Linked DNA regions of Struthio camelus. The protein of the gene in region 1 purifies or fractionates together with the protein of each later gene. This does not show direct contact. Links are inferred from orthologs where the notes say so. Each region holds a gene or a part of one and is shown in the gene's direction. Other genes may lie near its edges.

The links.
Region 2: the proteins of RBBP4 (region 1) and SHPRH purify together in Homo sapiens (affinity purification with mass spectrometry; 4 studies listed by BioGRID and IntAct, with this or other methods). This does not show direct contact. The link is inferred for Struthio camelus from reciprocal best matches to the Homo sapiens genes RBBP4 and SHPRH.

The regions. Positions count from the first base shown.
Region 1 is NC_090964.1:8,466,028-8,469,773, reverse strand, and holds the start of RBBP4 (histone-binding protein RBBP4), read left to right. Parts: upstream 1-1,519; 5' UTR 1,520-1,677; coding exon 1,678-1,693; intron 1,694-1,870; exon of another isoform or gene 1,871-2,364; intron 2,365-2,776; coding exon 2,777-2,924; intron 2,925-3,647; coding exon 3,648-3,746. UniProt on the Homo sapiens protein: Core histone-binding subunit that may target chromatin assembly factors, chromatin remodeling factors and histone deacetylases to their histone substrates in a manner that is regulated by nucleosomal DNA.
Region 2 is NC_090944.1:83,859,001-83,862,746, forward strand, and holds the start of SHPRH (E3 ubiquitin-protein ligase SHPRH), read left to right. Parts: upstream 1-1,037; 5' UTR 1,038-1,172; intron 1,173-1,629; 5' UTR 1,630-1,837; intron 1,838-3,078; 5' UTR 3,079-3,108; coding exon 3,109-3,746. UniProt on the Homo sapiens protein: E3 ubiquitin-protein ligase involved in DNA repair.

The DNA.
Region 1 (3,746 bases):
CAGGAACCATGTTTCAGCTTCTCTGTTGCATACAGCACCACGCATTTGATTCATTGTCAAATAATAAACTATTGTAATAATGAAAAATAATCAAACAGCAGTAAAATGGATTAAACTGTCACGCTTCACGTAACTTCTGCTCTTACTACATGTTACTGTTGAGCCTACTCAGCCCGCTAATGTGACACAGCAATCTGAAATATGCATTGCCTCCCAACCACAGGACGTGACAGGAGGAAAGATCTGTAGCCCTCAAGTATGACTTTTCTCTAGAAAAAAGCTTAATTACCTCTTAGGACAGGGACAGCATTTAAAGCTTCAATGCTGGCATCCACATGCATGGTAAATATGACTCTCATATAAGCACAGAGGTTTTCCTATATTCATTTGCTTGCAAAATTTGTCTTTTTTTTTTTTTTAAATAAAGAACTGTATCAATTCTCTGCTTAAAATTCTCAGACCAGACCCTGAGTTTCATACAAGTTTTTCATTTGTAAATCTATCAGACACAAACTTCATAATCGAATCAACTTCAGGCCCGTTAATTTCATTCAGACTAGACCTCTGCAAGTTTTCATACAAAGTGGTCATTCCTGCTCCTTCTTAATATTTTTGTGCACAGTAAGATTTTTTCACAGCTTCCCCAAATAATGGGAACGATAGATTTATAGAAGACACATAACACCACCAAGTCCCCCAATTTTCAGTGTAAGGGCCAACTTGCGGTTCTTATTGCCAGTCTTGGATATGACAAGATGGTACAGGCCTCCCAACTTCCATTTTCTGAGAAGCAACTAGGCCTATATGGGACAGAAAAGAGCTTGAAATTGGGAGGCTCGTGCTGCTCGGGGGGGGAACAAAACCAGGCGTGCGTACATTTTGATTTTAAACCTGTTCCTTGACTGTTGCCGGTCAGATCCACAACTGATCGTGCCAGGTTATCCGCGGCTAATCAGGCTTGGCTTATACACCGGTCTGGTTGTCTAATGGCCCGTCTCTGCAGGGATTTATGGGAAAAAAAAAAAAGGAAGTTATTAGTAATTATCGGCAATAAATAACCCAAGAGGGGGCAGGAGGATGCTCTGGAGGTTGCTGGGCCACCCGTTGGGGAGGAAGGGTTGTGCTGGGCCGGAACCCCCCACACAACGGTGCTCCCGGCACCGGTCCCGGGCCGGAGCCTCGCTCAGGAGCCGTCGGGGCCCGGTCGGCGGCGGGGGGGGGGGGTGAAGCGCTGGGGGGCGGCGGCGGCTCCGGTCTGCGTGCTGGCCCTTTAAGGGCTGAGCGAGGGGCGCGCTACACCCGCCCGCTTCCCCTCCGGAAAATGGCGGCTCCCACGGGAGCTTCAACAGCACCTTCCACTCCTCCCCCGCTTTCTCCCCGGCCCCCCTCCCACGTGACCGCCGAGCGCGCTCGCCTGCCCCTTGTCCCCGCCCCGTGCCGCGCGCGGATTGGCGGCCGCGGCCCGGCGGCCGGCGGCGATTGGCCGGCGTTGGCGCGCGAAGGGGTGCGCGGCGCCGGAGCGGCACGCAGCGGGGGCAGGAAACAATAGAGCCGCGGCCGGAGGGGTCGGAGCAGCGAGCCCGGCAGCCGGCCGCCCGCCTCGCCCAGCGCCGCCCGCCCGCCCCCGCCGCCGCGCGCGCGCACCGGAGCCGCCCCGCGCCCCCTCCCCGCCCCGCCATGGCGGACAAGGAAGGTAGGGCCCGGGGCGCGGCCTTCTCCCCTCAGGGCTCCGTGAGGCGCGGGGCAGCCCCCCCCCATCTCCCCCCCCCCAACAACGGCCGCCGGCCTGAGGGGAGCGCGCGAGGCGCGGCGGGGCCGCCAGGGGGCGCGCGGGGGCCACCGGGGCGTCCGCCCCCCCCCCCCCCCCCGCGCCGCGCCGTGAGGCGGGGGGGGGGGCCGCGCGGCCTCCGAGGCGGTGTCCCGGCCGCCGAGGTCTCTCCCCCCCCCCCTCCTCCAGCCGCTTGTCCCCGCGCCAGGCTGGGTGGCGTTTGAAGGAGGAGGGGACTCATTTACTTATTTTTATTTTATTTATGTATTTATTTATTTATTTCCCGAGGAGGGTGACAGCGTGCTGGGAGTCGAGCGGCCTGGTCGAAACGGAGCGGGCCCTCGGGAAGGTCTTTTTCGGCTTGTGCCCTGGGCGGGCCGCCGTGCCGTGCGCCTAGGGCAAACAAAGGGCCTGTCACGGCCCCCCCCAGCCGCGGTGCCTGGGTCCCCGCGGTTCGGGTGCCGCCTCTGCTCTTCAGCAGCGCAAACCGTAACCGAGCCAGACCAAAGGTCTGCTTAGACTTGCTTCGCTAGCAGAGGCTAGCAGCAGATGGTCGGGGAAACTGCGTGAGAGATACTAACGCAGAACGAGCCTTGGTAGGTTGCTAGACTTTGCGAATTGAGTAGGTCAAGGCTGCACCTGGACTGCTGTGTTTAACAATGGTTGCTGGACCTCCCCCCTTTACTCATCTTCTATGCACAAATCTTTGTTTCTGCAATATCCTGTGGCACGATATTCCATAATTTTGCTATGCTTCTTGTGTTAAGATGATGCAGTTTGACATAATCAAGGTTAGTTCAAAGCCGTATGTGTGGAAACAAAGATTATCGTGTGTAACGGAGGATTTTGAATGATTTAGTAACTACTCTAATAGAGTAGTGTACCAGCAAACCAGTGTGATGTTGTAGTTAGCTTGTTGTTTGATGTCCGCTCACAGGTTTGTGTGTATGTTTTGAACGTGTTCATAAAGGCTAACTTTATGCATTTAAAAAAAAACCCAAACTTTAGCAGCCTTTGATGATGCAGTGGAAGAACGTGTGATCAATGAAGAATATAAAATATGGAAAAAGAATACTCCCTTCTTATATGATCTGGTAATGACCCATGCTCTGGAATGGCCCAGCTTGACTGCTCAATGGCTTCCTGATGTAACGAGGTAAACTGGTCCTTTCATTTTTTTAAAGAGGAAGAGATAGGAGTAAATTTAGGATTGCTTGTTGTTCAAGTAAGACCGTATAGGATTGCTTTTGGTTTGAATCAGCTTTTTGCTCCCTTGCCTTACCAAGAGCAAGGTGAGGACTGAACACTGGAGAGAGAAGCAGTATAGGCATTTTTAATTTGGAAAAATGTCTTTATCATTGAGAAGGCACTTTCATTCATTTGATTTTTGGAGCTTTTCTTTTTCCAGCTTCACCCTACCCTTTAGAAGCAGAAAAACCCTCTCCACAAAAACAAGGGTGAACATAATTTCAGCACCAAAAGGCTGTGGACAACTTATCTTGTGCAGTATAACCATGGCGTTGTCCTAAGCTTCCAGACCAATGTTCTGCTTGCAGTTAATGTTCACATGCCTCAGAGTTTTACTATGGGAGCGTTGCAAATGCCTCTTAAAAGAAGGCAAGGGAATGGTGGGGATCTGTTTCTGATATTTAGAGATAGGGACTGTGCTATGAGACTTACAAGTTGAGATCTGTCTGGAGTTAGAGTAAGTGATCTTCCTCAGAAGGAAGAGGATTTGGAGCAGGGAGAGCAAGGGTAACTCTAAAAGGTGTTACTAGTGTTAGAAGCTGTAATCAACAAAAAAAAAATGTGTCGTAATAAGCTCAGTGTCTATGTAAACCCTTTCTTTTGTTTCTCATGTAATTCTCTTCTCTTCCAGACCTGAGGGCAAAGATTTCAGTATTCACCGATTAGTCCTGGGGACCCATACTTCAGATGAACAAAATCATCTTGTGATAGCTAGTGTGCAGTTGCCTAA
Region 2 (3,746 bases), on another chromosome or scaffold:
TTCTTATTATAAATATACTTTGTGTATTTAGATTTGTGCATTTAGGGCTGTTTCTCTAAGTCCCTAAGTATGGATCTGCCTATTTCACAGGAAAATATACATGTTTTCATAGTTTCTATTCAAGTGACAATTGCAGTCAACAATTCATTGGACTTTTTTTGCTTTTTTTGCAGTGCAAATTGCTGATGAATCACATGTTTAATAGCCTTTTTTTTATTATTTGAAAATATATTTCGGTTCAAGGATTGGCTCAAAATTTCCATCATCACTGCTACTCGGAGGAAATCATTTCTCCAGCTCATTCTTTTCAGTCTGTGATTGGCTATTGAAATAATACAGTACCTCCTCTGCTCTTGATGGTTTTCAAATATGAAAGAGCTTTTAAAGCAACGATGCAAATGCTTCTGGCACGAGTGCTCGTGACAAAACCTGTCATTATTTTGCCCCTAAATGGGATTTATCCACTATTCTTCTTATGACTATCTGTGGAAAATAAAGGAACAACATTAGAAAAGAAACGTGAGGATTTTTTAGCCTTATTTTTCATGGCTATAACCAAGCGCATTCCCTCTCCCGAAACAGCAGGCTTATGTCAAAATGTTTTCCTGGAGAAAACCGGGCTAAAAGGCGGGACTTCGCGGGGCCTCGCACCGCTCCCGCCATCGGGCCGCAGGCCGGGGGCCGCCCCAGCGGCCGGTGTGCCCGTGCGCATGCGCACCCCGCCCAGGCCGCCGACGCCGCCGCCTCGCTCCCGCTCCTCCTTCAGCCCCGCCCCCGCCCTAGTGAGGGCAAACAGCCGCTTGTCCCCGCCCGCTTTGCTCCGCTGCGGCGGCGCGGGCCGGCCTGCGCGTGCGCCCCCCGCCACGCCCTCACGCTCCTCCTTGCGTTGGCGTAGGGGCGGGGAGAACTGTCGCCTTCCTCAGACCCGATTGGGCGCCGGCCGGCCGGGCCGGGTGCGCGCGCAGCCGCGTGCCCACCCTCCTCCACCTCCTCCTCCTCCTCCCCCCCCGCCCCCCGCGCGAGGGCCCTTCCCACTTTGCTCTGGGCGGCGGGGTCGCGCGCCCCCTGCCCCTCCACCCCCACGGGCGCTGCGCGGGGGGGCTGCTCCGCCGACGTCGCGTGGCGGCCGGCCGGCCCTGGGCGGGGGCGGCGCGCGCCGCCGAGTCACCCAGGTACGTTGGGGGAGGGGAGGGGCGACCCCGCGGCGGCGGCCGTTGGCAGCGAGGGTTGGCGGCGGCGGCGGCGGCGGCTCTGCGCCCCTCCAGGGCTCGGAGGAGCCGCGGCGGGGCGGGCCAGCTCGGGAGGGCGATGGGCAGCCAGCCCCTGCGCCGCCTCGCAGTGCTCGGCCCCTGACCCGCTGGCTGCAGCGCGCGGCGGGGCGGCCTTCCCCGGCCGGCCGCGGGTGGTCCTGCGGCCGTGCCGGGCTCGGGCGGCGGGCGCGCTCCGCCGAGCGGGCGGCCTGGGCGGGCGGCAGGCGGCTTGGCCTGGCTCCCGGCGTGCTCTCATCTCTTGCCTCTCCGCACGCCTCGCGGGGTGTGCGGTAACTTTGGGTGGGGGGGGGGGGTGAGCGCTGGCCAGCGGTTGCGGCGGCGGGCGGGCAAAGCGCGGTGTGTCTGATCTCCCTTGTAGCTCGGTGCGATGGAGACCTCGGGAGAGAAAATATCGATTCCTGAGAAGTAAACTTCGGGTGCCCTTTGCAAGTTTCACGTAACTTTTCGCCTTGGGGAGAGCGCGCCCTGGCCGAGCCCTGGGAGCGCAGCGGCGGGCGGAGCGCCGGCCTGCCCGCTGTGTGCCGGCTTTCCTCCGCTGAGGAGCCTCCGCTACGCGGGCCCGGAAGGTAAGGATAGCATCCGAGTGCGCTGTGCTAGTCTCCAGGCCGGCACAGGCGCTGTCACGTGCTGCTGCTGGCAGGGTTGTTGCTTTACCTGGTGGACACGATCGTGGCCGTGGCGTTTTGAATCTGCTTGAATAGAGTGGGTCTGTCTAGTTTATACCTTAAAGTTATATTCTCTGCACGTGCAGATCTGGTTAGTAGAAAGAATATATTTTTTTTTATTTGGTTTAAGTGCAATTTTACAGTATCTATGCTCGCTGTTGGGATTTGCTGTGTTTACTAGCAACAGCTAAGTATGCACGAGTGGTGTTTTGAGAAACAGAGGTGTTTTCTTTTCCTTAATTCTGTTATATTTGAAATTCAAACATAGCAAGATTTGTGAATTCTTGAAGTAATTGGTAAGGTTATCCTCCACTGTAACTACATGGTTTTTTTTAACTTTTTATAGAGTTTATAAAGTCTCTTTTTTTTTGGTGAAAAATTATGAGACTGGTAAATGTCAGCTGTCACTAAGAATGCTGGCTTCCAAACATACGTTACATGGTTTTTATTAACTTTAGATAGATGTAACGTAGTAAAGATTTTTGGGAAAAAAAATTCTCCTTTTCTTTCTGGAAAAGTTTCTTTTACAGCTCTAGTGAAATTTTCCAAAATTGCGTTTTTTTAATGTATTAGATGAATTATAATTGGGTTTATCTATGAATACAGCTTAAGAAAAAATATAAAAGAAACCTACAAATAAGGTAAAAAAAACTCTGCATCCACAGTGTGGACCTGACCTGACTTCATTTGTGAGTGTACCTGTTAGTACCCAGGTGCATTTTGTCTATTAATCTCTCTACTGGAGTTGTTTCACTTGTATAAATACTCAAGTGTTTGTAGGGTCAGGCTGGCATTGGAGACCAATGCTTAAGGCACTCACCTGTGAACTGCTCAGAAACAGGAGATCTGTTCTGAGTAGCACCTATGAAATGCAGCATTCTTGTTGATCTCAGTCTATAGCCATCGGACAAAACGGTAAGATATAGTATGAGAGAAATGCTCCGTGTCTAGCTTTATTTAATGTTTTGGCATTGGCACATAAATTACTGTGTAAAACTAAGTGGCTACTGAGCATTTAGATTTCTTTAGCATAGATGGCTATGTCCAAAACTTTTACAAGTTTCACAGTGACTGCACAGTAAAATTTGAATGTGGGTATTTTTGTAATATTTATCATTGACTAGTATGAGTTGATCTCTCAGAGATTGGAAACACTGTTGAGAAAGGACAAAATGAGTAGTCGTCGGAAACGCGCACCCCCGGCAAAAGTAGATGAGGAGAAGAAGAAACAGCTCTGCTGGAATATGCATGAAGACCGGAGAAATGAGGTGATAACATTAGATGATGATATGACTGATGAGGACCACCTTCCAGGTCCAAGCACTTCCTCCACGTCCTTCATTGTTATAAACGATGACAGTGTTGATGAAGACCTTGTTCAAAAAGAGCACAGTAGTTCAAAATCCGTTACATTTTTGACAGCTAATGACGAGGAAGACTCGTGCTCCGTATTGACTCCTGTATCAGTACAGCTAAATATTATGATCTTGCCATACCGTGAGGATGCTTCCTGGAAAGTTTTGCTGGGAGAACTTGCTCTTCATCTTCCTCCTGAGCAAAGTCTAACTGAGGAATTCCATGAAAGGACTTTTACTTTGATGAGAGGAGACTCTGATCAGCTGCAGATCTGTGTCCATGCAAGAAGTGAAGAAGAGAACAGTAACGAAACAAAAGAATGCTTGAGTGGTTATGAACAAAGTATTTTGGTGGAACCCTCTTTAGGTGGTGAAATATTGGAAGGCTTGAGATGGCTGCAGAAGAAAAAGATAGTTGGACTTTATCAAAGACAAAGAGAGGCTCAAACTGTAAA